Neurospora crassa OR74A: one gene and its partners. The protein of the gene in region 2 interacts with the protein of the main gene of each other region in a biochemical or structural test. Links are inferred from orthologs where the notes say so. Each region holds a gene or a part of one and is shown on either strand. Other genes may lie near its edges.

What was found. The genes of interacting proteins can lie anywhere in the genome.
Region 1: the proteins of tim23 (region 2) and tim13 interact in a test that uses a peptide from one of them, tested with the Saccharomyces cerevisiae proteins (2 studies listed by BioGRID, with this or other methods). The link is inferred for Neurospora crassa OR74A from reciprocal best matches to the Saccharomyces cerevisiae genes TIM23 and TIM13.
Region 3: the proteins of tim23 (region 2) and NCU00527 form a complex in vitro, tested with the Saccharomyces cerevisiae proteins (2 studies listed by BioGRID). The link is inferred for Neurospora crassa OR74A from reciprocal best matches to the Saccharomyces cerevisiae genes TIM23 and MGR2.

The regions. Positions count from the first base shown.
Region 1 is NC_026503.1:2,024,574-2,029,967, forward strand, and holds tim13 (mitochondrial import inner membrane translocase subunit tim-13), read right to left. Parts: upstream 3,175-5,394; coding exon 3,082-3,174; intron 2,952-3,081; coding exon 2,784-2,951; 3' UTR 2,144-2,783; downstream 1-2,143. Other genes in the region: NCU06243 (hypothetical protein), read left to right, coding at 683-1,993; plc-1 (phospholipase C), read right to left, coding at 3,746-4,305, 4,368-5,394.
Region 2 is NC_026503.1:3,606,743-3,612,867, forward strand, and holds tim23 (mitochondrial import inner membrane translocase subunit tim23), read right to left. Parts: upstream 3,290-6,125; 5' UTR 3,044-3,289; coding exon 2,378-3,043; intron 2,308-2,377; coding exon 2,257-2,307; 3' UTR 1,549-2,256; downstream 1-1,548. Other genes in the region: NCU00372 (hypothetical protein), read left to right, coding at 4,029-4,177, 4,276-6,125. UniProt on the Saccharomyces cerevisiae protein: Essential component of the TIM23 complex, a complex that mediates the translocation of transit peptide-containing proteins across the mitochondrial inner membrane.
Region 3 is NC_026501.1:8,115,171-8,121,434, reverse strand, and holds NCU00527 (mitochondrial genome maintenance protein Mgr2), read right to left. Parts: upstream 4,043-6,264; 5' UTR 3,814-4,042; coding exon 3,759-3,813; intron 3,669-3,758; coding exon 3,642-3,668; intron 3,581-3,641; coding exon 3,551-3,580; intron 3,487-3,550; coding exon 3,396-3,486; intron 3,331-3,395; coding exon 3,186-3,330; 3' UTR 2,144-3,185; downstream 1-2,143. Other genes in the region: NCU00526 (Lcc1), read right to left, coding at 1-745, 807-892; ham-4 (FHA domain-containing protein), read left to right, coding at 5,830-6,264. UniProt on the Saccharomyces cerevisiae protein: Required for cell viability in cells lacking mitochondrial DNA.

The DNA.
Region 1 (5,394 bases), about 1.6 Mb from region 2:
TTCCAACAGAAGCTTTGCTGGACCCTTCGGCTTCTATGACAGGGATCTTGGGGGCCTGCAATCAGTGGATGATGATGAGTTACGGATTTAACATTGACACAGCAAAGGGGACTTTGAGCTCCTGGAAACTAAGCCCAAGGTAGTGATCCATCTGTCTGACCCGTCAGTGGTCAGTTACGAAATTTACCGTCAGTTTCATGAAAAAATGGCCATCTTTTCGTTACTTACAGGCGCACGTGATTATATGGAGCCTGGTACAAAGTATTCGGGTACAGAATTTGGGCTCAAAACCCCCAACACACAGTAGCCTTCGTCGACGAAGCTACCTTCTGGTGGATACCGTGCACGGGCATGAGCACAGACCTTGAATTAGCGTAATTTTCGACATTTTGTCAGGAAAGGTAAGAATGCCATATTTTCAGTTCCTATCGAACACTAGCCCAAGGCGCTTTGCCGGCCGGGAAAAGGAACACCATGCGAATGATCGATAAACGATAAGCGATCCGTGGCTGGTGACGTGACCCACTTATTCTTCACTTTAGTGTAAGTGCACCCGACTGCACTGCAGTGTAGTGTAGTTGCCGCCACTCCAATTATCCCAAGGACAACCAACCTTCTCTTTCTGAATTATTTCACTAATTGTATTTCAAATTGGCCAATCAATCCACCAAAGAAAATCATCATGGTGGGCTTCTCTTTTGGACTGAAAAAGGCTGCCGCCTCCTCGAAACCAGCGCCGGCCAAGAGGAAGCCCACGACCTTCGGCGGCGATGACGATGACGAAGACACGACAGCCGGTGATGGCCAGCCCAAGCCCATCGCCGCCGTTGAAATTGCCGAATTGGACGGTTTCGACGACAACACGAGCACACCCCTAGAGGCAGTAGACGAGGACCGCAAATCAAAAAAGAAATCAAAGGGACTACCACAACCACCACCGCCTATATCGGCAACAACAACAACATCATCATCATCATCATCAAACAAGAAAGCACCTCCTCCCGTCGCCGCCGCCGCTCAATTTGGCGACCTCTCCTCCGCCCTCGAATCGCGTAAATACGCTCAGGCTGCCGCCACCGCCGACCCCTCCATCTACGACTACGACGCCGTCTACGATTCCCTCAAGGCGCCCAAGAAGCAAGAGAAAGAAGCCGACAGCAAGGAAGGTAAGCGGCCGCGCTACTTTGATGCTTTACAAAAGGCCGCCGAGACGCGCGAGCGCGACCGGGCCATCGCCGAAGAAAAACGACTAAAACGGGAGCGCGAGGCCGAGGGGGACGCGTTTGCCGACAAAGAAAAATTCGTCACAGAGGCGTACAAGCGCCAGCAGGAAGAAAACCGACGACTAGAGGAAGAAGAAAAGAAGAGGGAGGAGGAAGAGGCCAAAAAGAACAAGAATAAGGGCTTGACAGACTTTTATAAGCAGATGCTGGAGAAGGAGGAGCAGGAGCATGCGGCCAAGATGAAGGCTGTTGAGGAGCGGGTTAAGGCTGGGCCTGGAGAGGCAGCACAGCAGAAGAATGAGGGAGAAGAAGACCCGGACGCGGAAAAGTCGGCGACAGAAAGGGCAAAAGAGATTAACGCCATGGGCGGAAATGTGATTATCAATGATGACGGTGAGGTGGTCGACAAACGACAGCTGCTCAAGGGTGGTCTAAACGTGGCGCCTAAGAAGAAGGTGGAACACCAACAAGAGAAGGCTCGACAGGCCGCAAAGCCTGCTGGGGCAAGCGGACCAGCTAAGGGCGTGTTCCAGGGTGGCAGCAAGCAGGCAATGCGGGAAAGGCAGACGCGCATGCTGGAGGCTCAGCTTGAGGAGAGGCTTAAGCGGGCGAGAGAGGAGGAAGAAGAAGAGAGGAAGAAGGTTGAGCTGGTGTCCAAGAGCAGGAAGACGGAGGCGGATATCTCGAGCGCGAAGGAGCGGTACCTGGCGAGAAAGAGGGCGGCCGAAGAGGCGAAGAAGAAGGGGCTGGAGGAGGGTGGTGCGCCGTAGTTCTGTTTTTAACAGCTCGGTTTTGTTATCTTTCAAGTTGTTCATTTTCAGTGGTTGTTGTTGACATGAGATACCCTTTTCTTTTTGGGAACCTGGTCAAACTGATCACATCAGTTCCCAGTAAAAGCATATGCCAGGACAAGGAAAAATAAAGAATGCCACTTTTCCAACGTCTATAAAAAGCACTGGGCCCCGTTCCTTTCCCTGTCTACCCATACCATTCCCTTGCCCGTGATTGCGCTGATGTTGATACACACGTACACATATGGTACGGAAAACGATGTCACCTCCATCTCCCTAACCAAACAGCCGCCGCTCGCTGATTTTTCCCTCCTTGCGTTCTTTCCTTGCTTTGCGCTTCTCCAGCCTCCTGCATCTTAACATTTCCAACCCTCAGCCGTGACCGGACCCTGTGCTAATGCCCAATGCGAAGGTCTTGACACCACTGCCGCCATCAAGAACCCTTGATATCTTCTATAATGTCCTTCAAACAATAAGGTCGTGTTTGAACCCGATCTGTTCGTGTACGATACGGAATCGGCATCCGAATCATTCATCGCATGCCAGTCGACAGTCGCGGCAGCAGTCGGAGTCGCAGTCGCAGTCGCAGTCGCAGTCGCAGTCGCACTAAGTCGAAGTCGCATATACTTTTTTTTCTTTTTTTTTTCCCCTCCCTGCCCCATCCCTCCCTCCATAATGCTTTTTTTTTTCGTCTTCCCCCCCAAGACCCCCAAAGAAGCAACTCATCGATGTGCCTTCGTCCTAGGTACTACTACTTACTCCTCCCTCTCTACTGGTTGCCCATCTCCTGCTGTATCCTCCGCAGATAAGTCGTGTTGACCACGTTCCACGCCGCCATGTACTTTTCGGTGCACTGGGTCACGCACGTCTTCTCGCTGTTGGAGAGGGAGGAGCCGGGCTTGGGGACGCACGAGGTGAAGCAGTTTTCGCCGATTTTCTGTTTTTTTTTTTACATTGAAGGCCCGGTTAGTTGGTTGGCGGTTTTGAGAGAGAGAGAGAGAGAGAGAGAGAGCAAAAGAGAGAAAACGGAAAGACAGAGAGAGAGAGAGAGAGAGAGAGGTACGTACCTCCATCAAAGTCCGCGCATTGGCGCTCTGGGACTCGATGAGAACCTGCTTGATGATAGCCTTCTTGACGGTCTCGGAGGTTGAGTCGGACATGGTTGCGATTTTTTTTGTATAGAGTTTTGGAGTTTGAAGTTTGGATTTGGGTGTGGTGGTGGTGGTGGTGGTTGGTTATTAAATCAGTCGCGAAGTTGCCGGAGCTAAGATCTTGGTGACGGCTTCGATAAAGTGGGAATGATAGGTAACTTGACTGCGAACGAAGCTCCGGACGAATGCCGCAGCAAGCCAGGATCCCAGTCAGTTCGAAATGTTTATTATGGAGGTGTGGCTTTAGTAAGTAGTGATTGCCGAGCAGTGATAAGGTGAGGCTGGTGCAAGTCGGTCTTTTCCCGGCAGGCAAAGTCCTGAAATGGCAGGAATAAGGGGGCCCCTTTTGGGACACAACAATAACAACAGTGGTTTGTTGGTGTCGATGGTGTTATGCAAAGTAGTTTATACCACCTTCGACAGTTTAAACACAACTGTCACAAGAAATATGAATGACAAGGCTAAGATCACGCTTAACGCTCCATGCTATATATGCTTCATATGCTTTTAACTCCCTCACTTCCTTCACTCCCACAAACCACACCGAAACAAACCGCACTGTACCGCACAGCAAGTAAAGTTACAACCTCAACTTCTTGCTTATCTTCACCAAAACAGCCCCATCACTCTCCATCCCCTTCGCATCCAAAAGATGCACAAACCGATACCCTTCCCTCAACCGATCCAGCCTCACGCACGCCCACGCCGCCAACGAATCCCTTCCAATCTCATCATCCAGCACCAAGAACCTCACAAACGAGAGCTCCGGGACTACACCAGGGATATTCTCAAATTTCAGTTCTGTCTGGGCACCGAACTTCCCCTCCCAATCCGGATCGCATCCTCCCTTTATAGATTTGGTCTTGGCCTTGTACTCGCCCCCTTTTTCTTTGCCGTCCTGCGGCAGCTCGTCGGTACCGTGCCGCTCTCCAGGCTCTTCCACGTGTAGTTCGACTTTCAGGTAAGGGCGGAAAGAGTCGATGTTGTCGTCTCCGGGGGGAAGGGGGAGCGATTGAGCAGCGAGAACATTGATGGTAAGATCCATGGTGTAGTGCTGGACGGCGTCGGCTTGGGTGTCGGAGGCCAAGGGTGAGGGGGAGGGGGACGGATTAGAGTCGGTGAGTTTGGCGCAGCGGTAGCCTAGGTCGGGTCTTGTTAGCGTTTTTGTCTTGCCTAAAGAGGAGTGGACTAAGTGGACGTACCAGCAGGTTTGAGCACATAACCGCCCGTCCCAGCAAACATGCCCTCATTCAGCATCATGCCCTCATCCCAATTCTGCCAATTCAGCGCCACAATCTGGATCCCCTTTCTCCAAAACACAGCCGGATCCAGGTTTGATGACAAGATACGCATACCAGACGGGTACGCCCGCATCAGATAGTGCTTGTTATGCTCGAAGAGCGCGCTACGACTCTCCTTGTGAACATCCATCACGCCACTCTCCGACAGCGAAAAGATGTGCGTCGGCATGTTGGCCTCGGGCTGCATCAGACTTTTGAACGACACACCGCGCGTGTAGATGCCCATCTTGCTCAAACTCCAGATAACCTTCGACGGTTTCTTCGCCCGCTGCTTCGGTTGGCCCGCTTCTTCTGATAGTCTTCCAGAAGCCGCGGCGGCGGTGTTGTCCAGCTCCTCGGGGGTCGTCGAGCCCGTCGAGCCCCCTTCATTGTTGGGTGGAGCGTACTTGACCTTCACGAGAATTTTGCCGCGCAGCTCTTCAGGAGTGGGAAGATATTTGGCATCCTCCTCCGGCTCAGGAAGAAGCAAGTCTCCCCAGATCTGCCTCATAATGTCAACCATCATTTCCTGCTGCTCAGCGCTGCAGTGCACCTCGAGACTGACGATCAGAGGCAAGTCGGTTGTGGCAAAACCGTAGTCCTTGATAGCCTCGCACACGTCTCGGAAGGTGATGTCTTTAGTTAGCGTGTACCCGTGCAGGACTCGCGGCTCTTTGGTGCTCTTCCTACTGAGAGTTTGGAATAAAGAGGCAGAGCCGCCGCTCTTGCACCTCTCCAAGGGGTTCGTTTCGGCTGATAGTCCTACTGGGGCGGCCTCAGTGGTTGTTGCTGCTGCAGGCGGCGGCGGCGGCGGCGTTGTTGTGGTGGGCTCCGGAACTTTCTTGTCCTTGGACTTCTTCCTTCCACCAAGAAAGCTAGGCAGCTTTCTCTTCGCTTTCCTCTTCAACTTGCTCGCTATTCCCTCCTCACCACTGCCATAGGCATCATC
Region 2 (6,125 bases):
CCTCTGCTGCTGAATCCGCCCGTCGTCGGGTAATTTTCAGAGGTGAAATCCGTGGAAGTGAGTGGTAAGTAAATGGAAAGTGATCCGCTGTTGCCTGGGGAGCGCAGAAACTGAGCGCGAGTGAAGGGATCACGGCAAGATATCCACATGGGAAACCTGCAGCCCCGCGTTGAAGCCAAGCAAGTTTGGATCTGTCGTTGAGTCCTCGTGATCGTTGTCCTGCCAACAAACGCTCCTTCCTTCAAACAAGTCTTCGAGTCTGCTCGATGTCCTCGGATCCAAGAGAGAGTACTAACCCTCAGAGATACCTGACCTGCTGCTGCTCTCGATTTCTTGGGTGGAAATTCTGCAACAAGGAAAGCAAACAAACTTACCACATCGCGGAGCTCCCAGGCCCTCGTGCTCTCGTTAAAAACATAGTGATAGTTGTCTCCGTACCGGTTGACCGGTTCGCGCTCAAAGTCGACGTCGGCAAACGGCCAGCAAGGAATGCAACAGCACATGTTGACTGCTTCTTCTCTAATTGCTCTGATTGCTTTCGATTCGGGATATTTTTGCCGTTGCCGTGGCAGTAATGGTTGTTCTTCCCAATGTGCGGCGAGCGCGGTACAAAACAGGAGTCGAGTTGGTTTGAAGTTTTGTTGTCTGTCAACTGCGGAAGCGCAGTTGAACGGAAACTCCGTCTTTCATCTGCCTTGGTCTTGATAAGATACTTGGCAGAAGCCGGCCCGGGCAGGTATGAGGCTCCCGCAACCGAAAAGGGGAGGCACAGCCCAAAACACTCTAAACCCACATGACGACCCGACTATGACCATTGTTCTTGGTGTATGAAATTTCTGAAAGTATGCCTTGGGAGTATTTAGACATGATCTATGATACCCGCCTACTCACAGTAGGAACATTACATCTCGTGCACCTGATCATCTTGCTTGTTGATATGTCACTTACGACTTCATTGTCTGCTTGGTTTTTGTTGTGGTTCGTGGATGCGCTGCCCCGGTTCATCCTAAACTAACAAAGGTGGATGATTACGTTGTCTTCTTTCTATGCTAAAGTGTTCTGTTGGTATACTATCGAGTTTTTGTATATTCTTCAAGTGGCTTTCTATGGTGGTTTAGGAAGAAGGTGGGGATACATTACACGTTACATATGATCATGTCGAGCTCGCCTTTCTCCTTTTGCAACAGCATCCCACACCAGGAACCAAATGATGTTAGCTCGATCTTGTTATAACCAAAGATATGGATGGGAAACTTGCTTTATTAGTCTTCGATCTTAGAGAAAGCAATAACGGGATTCGTAGAGGGACTTAGCATAAAGAGGCAAGCAAGGTTATTATCGTTACTGCCACTTGTAGCTCACTAGTCTGTCGGTTATCGAAGAATTGATTTTCCTCCCTGTCTTGATCTCTCTGCTTCCATGTATTGAAACTGGTGCTTGCCTGTTGTTCTCAAGCCAAAGATTTGCATGGGGAATACTCGAGGAACAATGTGCGTACGGTTTCCAGTTCTGTGGCAAATAGGGAATTCGTCGGAGATGGGCCTTATCCTAAGAGAGTGGATATGTTCATTCGTAGTCCTGCCCCTAAGTCGCTTCGAACTTTGAACTCACACCTGCTTGCAGTCATTTTCGACACCAACGTGTGGCAGGGTGACATGCCCAATATATCCCACACCAAACATTACCTCTCTATTATCTTATCATAAAACCCGGAGCCAACAGTCATGTACAACCCGCAATAGACTCAAAGTTTGAATGAAGCCTGCCGCAATGCCCCATATGCCCAACCAGGGCGATTGCGCTCTATGTCCATATGATCCGCTATAATACATACAATTTTCCACACACGGGGAGGAGAGAGATGAGACTAACCCTTGCGCTATGCACCACTATGCACACACCCTGCCCTTTGGCCCCTCTTCCATGTCCTGCCTTGTTCAAGCCCTGCCCAGCCCAGTGTCGCTTTATTTTCGTTCTTCCCTCTCTTGTTCGTACACATCCACCAGTTCGTGTCTGCTGCCCTTTTGCTCCGTGTTGAACCAAGGACACACACACATCTTCATCGCAGTGGTCTTCCGTGCTGGTGAGAAAGACACTGGTTTTCTTCTGTCAGTTCTCTCGAAGATTAAAATAATAGAGAAGGCTGGCTAGCTATGCACTCTTTTCATGGAGCAACGATAGATGGCCAGAGAGTCGTGGGATGAAGGGAACAGAAGATGACTTTTTTTGTTTCCTATTTCATTCTTCGTCCCCACTTCAGTCAACCTCGTTGGTCTGGGGGGAGGGGAAGAACGTCCTCCTGGCGACCTAGTGACACAGTAAAGTTAGCAAGGTGTATTTCCAGTCTACGCCTGCCATACGAAAAATGGTGACATACCGCCCAAGTACCGGCTATCGTCGCAACAATACCACCCGAGATCATCATGGGCTTCAGACCCCTGGTGCTCTTGAAGAGCATACCACTAAGCGCACCGGCCAGGATTGAGTTGGCGGCATCGTGCTTGCCCCTCACGTAACCAATGCCGGCGTTGATTAGGTTGTAGCAGATGGCGACAACACCAGCCGAGTTGCCGAGGTAGGGACCGCGACGGGTGACAGCGTTAAGGACGGAGTTGAGGCGCAGCTTGGGCGGCTGGCCGGCCGATCTCTGGAGACCCTCTTTCAAACCCCACGCGCCTCCGATAGTGAGGGCCGTCAGGTAGGTGATACCGGTTCCGTAGCAGAGGTCGTCAGTGAAGCCGCGCGAGGGCAGAACTGAGGCGCCGGCGGCATCGGGCAGCGGGGTATCCTCAAGCGAGATGTATTCTAGTGTTTCCTTGTTGAGGCCGGCAAGAGGGTGTAGTTGTGTGGGGTCGGCGAAGGAAGAGCTACCGAGAAAGGCCTCGACACCTTGGGGCTGGCTAGCATCGAAGGGCGAGGGATATGAAGGAGCGGAGGTGGTGGTGGTGGTTGTCTGAGGTGCGCTGGGGGCGGGTGCGGCGGGCTCTTGCTGCTCTTGCTGCTTCTTGTTGCCTCCGGTGAGGGTGTTCCAAAGGCCGGACATTGTGACTGAAGTGGAGGGGTTCGATGGGTTATCGGATCGTTAAGCAGTTGGGGAACACGAAGCAGATAGACCGCGTACTGCTGCGCGCAAGAGTGGTGACGGGTAGCCGGAGGGAAGGGTGGGTGGGTGGTGCCGTCGGCAAACGAGTAAGCTATCGTATCTTCGGGGGAGTGACGGACGGGTCGGTGGGCGAGACGGATGGGATCTCGAATTGGCTCCGGCTCACGCGCAACTTGGACCGACGCCTGTCTTGGCCCCCGATAACGTCGGAACTTCGAAAAAATTTACCTCTATGGCGCCCGCATGGCCCGTGCGAGCGATTGGCGTCATATGTACCTCTACATATGTATATACATGCTCTGGGGCTTTGATTTCGGGGACATGTCAACATGGCGAAGTGGAACTCAACCGAGGCTGTAATGAAGAAGACCTTATTGAAAGGTCAACTGCAGTACATCGTGGGCATCTGAAGCTAGACTACGCCTTGAACAGATATATTCAACGGATTCTCCATGTTCCCATTCCTGCTTTCTCAGGACTTCTTCGCCTTTGGATCTTTTACGGGGACGGTTCGTTCGTGGGGATTCTTTTACTGCTACAGTGCAGGGGTATCTCTTGACATGGCGGCAGGCAACTTCAGACCCAAAACAAGCACGGTGGCCGGAGTGGATTCACCCCCAGAACATGCGCAGTGGATGTAAACACACAGTGGGTGATGCTATAGGCCTTTGAAGATCCCAAAATTTCACAACTCGTCGCTCATACTTTACACGAGTGCCCAGCAGAGAGGTGGATTACTTACTATCACAGTAACTTCAGGCCCTCACTAACTCTCACTGGGGGGCTCATTGACGGTCAGGCACTTACCACTCTTCGCTCCTTCTTTATTGCCTCCCTTTCCCAGTCATCATCACTCTGCAACGAAGTCTCGGATGCACGTCTAAACCCGGTCCCTCAATCATAACTTCCCTTTTGGACTGCGGGGATGGAGTCAACCCAAGTCCAGCAAAATGCCCCCGGCAGCAGCACCATTGACACGGACGCTCTGCTAGCCGGACTGGGCCCCGAAGTGTTTGAAAATGCCAACACCATCACCAAGTGGCTGTTGTCACAACCCACCGAGTCACTCCCAGCGTAGGTTTCTTTTCTTTCGGATATCTTCAGTGTCCAGTTATTCTTTGTGAGAAGTTCTCAATCACACATATACAGACATTCACTAACACCCGTGTTAGCATCGCACAGGCAGTATTTGCCAAGTTGTTCAGCAATGCCTCTGAGTCTCGCCAGTATCACGGCAACGGTCACGATGTCGTAAGGCTCTGCAGCTTTGTTCAGCAATGCGCCAAGGCCAAAGACGAGAAGCTGAAGGAATGGGCCTTCACCGAGCCCGTCTCAACGAAGCTGTTCCATTTCTACCTTGAGTGGTATGAACACGACCCGCATCGTGCCCTGAGACTGATTCTTGATGTCCTTGTGGCCTCGGCGACCATTAATCCCAAACCCGAGACAGGGAAGGCAGTGAAGGAACACATCCTCAAGACCATCGTGGAGATTGTCGCTCGCAAGTCTGCCATGCAACTGACCAAGTCTGGCCTGCAGTGTCTGGACCACTTCTTGAACAAAAAGGTTCTTTCCCTCGACGATGTTGCTCGCAAGTATCGCGAGGTCGACTCTTCTGTCGCCGACCTATCTCATCTCTCCGTGTGGAAGTCCTTTGTTTTTGAGCTGTTCTCGTGGATGGAGCTTCCCTACGTCTGCCCTCATGCCGGCAAATGTCTTGTGCATATTTTTAAGGGTTTAACTGGCCAGGCTGCTGCTGCGGCCCAAAAAAGCGAAAAGTTCACTGTCGAGGTCTGGAAGACGTGGCTACAGGAGGCTGTGGCCCAGAGACCAGCAGTCTTGGAGGATATCAAGAACTACGTCCTAGTTCCTATTTTCAAGACTGACAAGGTCGAATCTCTGAAGCTGCTCGAGGCGTTTAACCGCAGCGAGATACCCGTCGGATCTACACAGGATCTGACCGATCTGACTCTCTTGCTCCAGTTGGCGACACTCGAGACCGGCAAGCGGTTTGGTCTCGTGGAAGAACCCAGCAATGATATTGACGCTTCTCAGTCTTCAAGCAAGGTAATTCTTCGGGACACTGTCCTCGAAAGCTTCCTCACACATCCTTCCCTCTCCGTCAGATCCAGCGCTTTCTCCTTGTTGGTCTCATCCCAGGCCACTACGAAGCCCTTTTCCCGGATAGCGTTTGACCTACTCAGGAAGCACCTCGCCGCCTTCCATGCCGACTTTGACGCCAAATTGCGCAACGAGGTGCTCGGCTATACGAAGAACCTGATTCGGCGTGTTAAAAACGTCATCTCCGTTGCCCAGAGAAGCCTTGCCCAAGCAGCCAGCAAGCAGAACCCGGCGCCTGCGGACAAGGATACGACATCATCAAAGAAGAAGCCCGCTCCTGAGAACTTGTTGAAGAGTCCCACCGAGGCCAGGGAGGTACTTGACCGCCACGAGGCTTTCTTCTCGTGGTACCTTGGGTTTTTGAAGGGTGAGCTTTTGCCCACAACGTCTTACCAACGCCACATCACAGCCATGAGAGCGGCACTTTTGGCGTTGAAGGTTGGAAAACACGCTGGTGCCACGGATGATGTTGTCGATGAGGACGTTTCAAAGTCAATATCTTCAGATTTCACTTGGATCCGCCTTCTTCTGGATCTACTCTTGGACCCTTTTGACGATGTCAGAGACTCCGCCTCTAACCTTCTGGGGTTGTTCTCTCAAGGAATCATCAAGTCCCCCGCACAACCCAGTCTCAATAGCAAGACCCAACTCGAGGTCCTGCAAGACTTTTGCCTAAAAGCCCGGGCTTTGGCAGACAGAACTGGCCGCGCTGATCACGGTGACGGCGCTGCTCGCTCCCAGGGACTTCTGTGCCGATGGTTGGATGGTGCAGATCTCCAAATTGCTCACATTTCCAAGATCATCAGTGGTCTTGAAGACAAGGTTACAAAGGCAGAGAAGGACTTGGGCCACGCTGCCATTGAGAACCCCGTACATCCAGATTTTGCCGCCATCAGCTATG
Region 3 (6,264 bases), on a different chromosome or scaffold from region 2:
AGTTTGGAACTTGAACTTGGAGATACCCGCGTTGGGAGTGCACGGGGTTTGGTCGCCTGCTGCGGCGGCGGTATCGCAATCAAAGTTCATCTTGCCGTTGATGAGATTATTGTCCGAGGGTACACTGGGACTACCGCCCGGCGCGAGCATGTCCTTGATCAGGTCGAAGTAGGGGCGGTGGTACCAGTCGCTGAGCATGACGGGGCCGAGGTCGATGTCGTACTTGGCCTGTGTGGGACCGTGGACGACGATGGGACCGACGATGCCACCGGCGTATTGCGCTGAGTAGTGGGCGTGGTACCAGGATGTGCCGTAGAGACTTGCATTGAACTCGTACGTGTAACTTTTGCCAGGAACAATGGGACATTGGGAGACACCGGGTGCGCCGTCATCCCATGGGGTATCGTCCTGGAGGAAACCGTGCCAGTGCATAGCCGTACCCTCCTCCGGAGAAGAAATGTTGTTGAAGACATTAACGACAATCATGTCACCCCAGTTCGCCTCAATCAGGGGGCCTGGAAATGCGCCGTTCACTAGTAAGACGTCCCGTTGGTATCCATCCGGTGCAATGACTCCTCGGCTGATGACAAAGTCGTACGTTCTCACTACTCCTGTTGCAGGACCATCGGTGTATTGGTTGTTTCCCCAGTCGGTGAGGTTTCCCCATGGATATTGTCCATCCGGTGTTAAATTGCCCAAGAAGAATGCTAGAAATGAAAAGAGAAACGTTCCCAGTCGGGATGAACTTGAACAAGATGACGTTAGTGGTCTTCTTCCTCCTAAGGAAGAAAGAAATGGAAACATACCCATTTGTTTCCTCTTGAACCAAGTTCGCAACAACACCTGTAAGTTTAGAGCTGACCTCTACTATGGCGCGTCCTACTACACCCATGATGAAGAGTAAAGGGATGAAACAGAAGATATACTTTGTCGACCCTTATAAGTGCAACCGAGTTGTTGGAAGGAAGACTATGGGTATGAGTGTCCAAGGACGGCCGAACATCCTCAGCTACGAAGAACTACATCGTTACTTCTTATACAAATCCCTTTGGGAGACTAAGACCGCAAGGACCTACCGCTTTGGCGCCATCCGTGACACAATAATCAACACAGGCCGACCCAGTCCTAGCTATCCCCGAGAAACGCCCCGTAATGTGACCAGCACAGCGAGAGGGAAAAAGGAACGGCAGGGTGGATAGATCACAGATGCTGTTTGGGATCGACCCACTACCCCGATCGACATCCTCCGTATCTGTTGCACCTAGTCGATGCAGCAAAGTACACATTATCCCTGAGATTGATGATGATGATAGTCTGCCAACGGAATCGTCAGGTACCATCCGAGATCCGGCGTGGAAACAAACTCAATGTCCACAACTTCAGAGTAATCAAGATCAGCGCTGTCCTTGAGCCATGTCACATGGTGTTAGGGAGCTGTTCAGCTCAGCTGGACCAGCATATATATTTTTCAGATTAGTGCGCACAGAGACCAGGTTGTTTGCGGCATCGGATTTGTCGGACAAAACTCACAACATATCCGGCCTGCCCACCGCTAGGAGTGGCCATAGAGAGACACTTGGGTAAACGAAAACACCAAATGGAGGTTCACCGTTGAAGTACGAGGTGGACAGCAAGAGGATCTCCATCTAGCGATCTCCAGGTGTTGAATTGTCGACGATATTATGGGTACAGCTCCACGGCTCCCATTTTCCTGGACCGCAAGATGACGAGCACTCCGTTATCGCCGGAAGAGCGCTAGGAATAACGAGAAGGGGTACAGCCATTGCTGGCCATGGCACTGAGCTATCATCTCGTAAAGTCCCTGGTAGTCGATCATGCAGTCAGCCTTCTTGAAAGTAAGGAGAGAATACTAGATACTGACGCCCAAGCAGCGTACCGCACAGGCTCGCACGGACTTGATGTTAATCTGTGAGTCGAAAGTGCATACATATATGTATACCGTATGGTCTCGCGCAACTCGTATGCCAGGACAGGCACAATCGTGCGGACCCTGTAGGGTCAAAGGTCTGCCAGTTGCGTTTGGTTGCGTGTATGTGGCGGTACAAGCAAACGGTAGAGCTTTAACCCGGCGTTGCCGGACTCTTCAATGCAAGGGAAATGTCAGAGGCTCAATCACAATTATGATCGCCGGTGCAGGAAGCAAGGAACTGGCAAAACAGAACAAGCGCCAAAAAATGAGAAGGCTGCTGACGGACGACCTTGGAAAATCCCAAAGCATGGCAACAAATGCTGCCGGAACAATGGGAACTGTTCGGTCGAGCCCGTCATCCAAAAAGAATGAACCAATGACCTGTAACTAGCTTTAGTCGATTGATCGCTGTATTCGAACAGAGAGTCGCAATGTTGCTAGGTCAACGAGTCCGGACCGCAGCTGGATGTATGCAGATGCAGCAACAGCCAGAAACCGATCCTCCTAAGTAAGACTGTGGCATGTCTAGAAGCTGATGTATTCCTCTTGCCGCGGATCTCAGCCTCCTTTGACTGGCACTTGTTGCAAGTTTCGAGCTACTGCTGTTGACTCGATTCCGTACAGTGGTAAAGATGATTTCTCTCCAATATTTTCGCCCAGTTTGTCTCCTCTTGGCGGAAGTGACGATGGTTGGGTATCTGTTGGTTCACTGGACGAGATATTCTCAAGGGAGTGAATGGATATTGCTTTAAGATTGCAAGTGCGATGCATTTTTTGAGCCGCATGAAATTGTCTTAGACGGTATTAGGGTGGCTTGTATGTATCGATCACTTGGCCGCCTTTAACCAGGATGTGAAACTTTGGGCGCTGATCTCGTTTCGCATAGTATACGTGTTGCTGAATTTCCATTCCAACAAAATTAACATGCTAACTCAGGCCCAATGTTGTAGCACAGCCGAAGAGCCTCATCATGCCGGTCGGCTTGCACAGCATGCCCATTCGTAAAGCTGGCCTGTTGTCATGAAAGTCAGCAAACATCTGTTGAATACAAGCACAGAAGCCCGGAAGCACCCTTCCTGAGTTGTCGCTCGTCAAAAGTTATATCAGACAAAAGGGGCCCAAACTGATCCACGCATGATTAGAATTTCTGTGAATTCTGAACAAACGCCCAAGACGCCGTATCCATAGTCGCTCCCGAGTGCGGCCCTATTATTTACACATAAAGTACAGCAAATCGTGCCTCCTGCGTGGACGCTTAGTCGGAGCGACGAGTCGGGTAGTAGGCGGGGCGGAAGGCCTGGGCGGCCATAATCATGGGCCTCCTCTGGGCACGATAATAGGCCTCGGCGACAATGGGCGAGGAGTCGGAACGAATGACGCTTCCGATGGACATGAAAAAGCTGGAAGGACGGCTGTGTCAGCGGTAGAGTCCAGTACAAAGTTCTGTGTCGAAGGGGTTTCCTACCCAAAGGTCGCGCCCGAACCGAGCATGTACTGGCCCAATGTCCTCATGATGCCGTTAGGGCCGGCACCATATCTGAAAATGTTGACGGTCCCTGGAGAGTGGCGCACGTCAGGACATGCCCGTAGGTCAATTGAGTCTTTGGGCGATGGGCCTACCGAAAATGAAACCAATGATGCAGCCGACAGCTGTAATCGCAAGAGGTTAGCGACCGGAGTCTTCATCATATCACGGGCAGGGGAAACATACTGCCGCCCATCATGGCACCCATCTTGACTGCGAGGATGGCATCATGTTAGCACGCTCCATGTTGTTTTTGGTTATCGCAAACCCCTCTCGAGTTGTTGCCGTGGAGTCAGCCCATACACTTGTCAAAGTTGGAGGGCCCAACGGCACCACCGTGCTGGGGAGGAGGAGGCATCTTGGTAATTGGCGGTATGGGATTGACGACACTGCAAAGCTAATTGCGGCCAGAGGAACTGCCAGCTGATGCTGCTTCGCTTGCGATCTCAAAGAAGTGGGAGGAATTCCGCGATAGAGTGGTTGCCGCGGGCAATTGCAAAAAGTGACGCACGGACGATTTCAGCGTGTGAACGAGGACTCCACCGCATCAGCCTTGCCCGCCGGGAGGAACTATCAAGTGCTACAGGGAACATTCCATCGTGATAAGGCCACTGCATGTGAAAGCTTGTCTCTGTTTCACGAAGCGTGAGTCTTCTCAAAACCTAAAGAAGAGATCAATAACTATAGACGGTCTATCCCAACTATAGGGATGCAATAATGAGCGTTTCTGATATCTTTAATCCACCTTTGTGAGTCCTTGCTGTCGTACTGTACTTGCAAGCTTCACCACTTGGCAGATGAAGCTCTAACAGAACCGGGATAGGCGGGGATCACCTATGGAACCTCTTTCATGTCTTTGGAACGTCTAGACGCTTGGGCCACCAACCTCGGCGTTGCCCGTCAGACCACCTAGAACTGTAGTCGCCTAGCGGGCGACGTGCCATCGTCAACTCCATTTATGTCCTTTCCAATTACCATTTACAGGCATTGCTCACGTGATAGGGAGTTCCTGCTGGAGTTGGTGACAGACTGACAGCCAGCGCAAGTTGAAATCATGCCTCTCCCTTGTTCAGTTGGTTCTTTTTCATCTCCGTGAAAGACGGGATTCAAGCTCCTGAAGATTGCGCCTGCACCCACGTACAGACCATCATCTTGCCCCTGGTGGTTGGCCTGCACATATCGCACACCAATTTCATTCCGATACAATCACTGTATCATATACGCAGGACACCTTGATCGTGTTTACCGCTGCATCTTCAACTGGTCGGCATCCAAGAGCCAATGGGTCACCTCAAGCAAGTTCAAGCAGACCTACAGGTACCAAGCGAAGAGGTGCTTCATTGTAGAAACAGGGGCGGGGACTACCAGTACACGGCTGTAGGTACCTAGGTACCACTGCAGAAGCCAGCGACCACTGGCCGGGCAGCGGCAGTGCTGCTAGTCAAAGGCCCAATCGCGAGGAACGGGGTAGTCCTGTTTGGGATTTGGTGGGAAAGTTTAGCTGAGCCAGCTGCACGCATGGACCACTCCGTGGCTCCGGCCGGCCTTCAGTCCCCTGCCCACTAAGCGCTTCAGGTACGGTTGGTTCCTCTCCAAGGCAACGTCAGGACTCTGGAAACGTGAGTCGCCTCGTGGATATTCTGGTTCAACCATCGTCGAGTGCCATACTGTTGCCGTCGCGTCTCGAAAGCGTGCTTTGCCATTTGCCATTTTCCCCATCTGCCCTCGAAATCGCCGTCACAACTTGCTATTACTAGGTATGCTTGCTTCTCGCTTGCTCCTTCTTTACTATATAAGCACCAACATCACGACGGGATCGCCTCTCGACTCGGTGCCTGCCCCTCCGCCAGCAAGGGCGCGAAGTTACCAAAGAGCAAGTGCGCACTCCTAACTCGACAGTCGTCGGCGGCCATTGTCCACTTGTCCAATCCACCTTGGAACCCCGGAATCCCTGCGCCAAGTGCTCGACGTCACGGCCAGATTACCGCCGCGTGCTGGGTAACATTACTCGCCTCTAACTGACCCTTTTGCTTTCAGCCCCTATAGTTGCCAACAACCCGTCCAAACTCCATCAATAGTGGCGCAGGTACATAACAAGGTCAGGAAGAGAAGAACAAGTAGTCGCATGGGCTAGAGGCTGCACGGAGACCTCGAGTGACAGCCAGTTGGAGCCCGCGCGCCTGCTCCCGCTCCCGCTCCCCGTTTCCAGCTTCCAGCAAAAAAAAAAAAAAAAGGACAGTTTGTTGCAACTTGCAAAGGGAACAATCTCAAGGTCCTAGCATAGACGGCAAGCGACGACACTAGCGACCAGCGACACCACCGCCCGTATCCACTTCGCTCCATTCCCCCAGAGCCCCGTCCACGCCAGGTCTCAATGACGGCTGTCGCGAATCCCCCTAGCTTCGCAAATCTCAATCGGCCGGGATGGATTAATGGCGACCAATCGCTAAACCCGATGAACCCCGACGACAATAGAATGAACATGTTCATGTCGCGAAAATCTCTTCAACGATCAAACTCCTCGTCGTCGGTTGCGTCGACGGCGTCCTCCTCGTCCACCTCCACCGTGACCTCGACCGGCTCCGTCTCGACTGCGCCGACCAACGGCAGCCCCAACAGCACCACCAGCAGCGGCGGCGTCAACGGAAACGGCAACCCCATGTCGGTCGGTGGAGACACCGCGCCTTGGTCGAACTCACAAGCTCTGCGCAAGAAACCGCAACCAAAAAACAACAACACCAACTCATGGACTAATGCCAGGCCAGAAGGAGCGTCCGACCTTTCACGCTCAGCAACAGGCCGCCCGCCC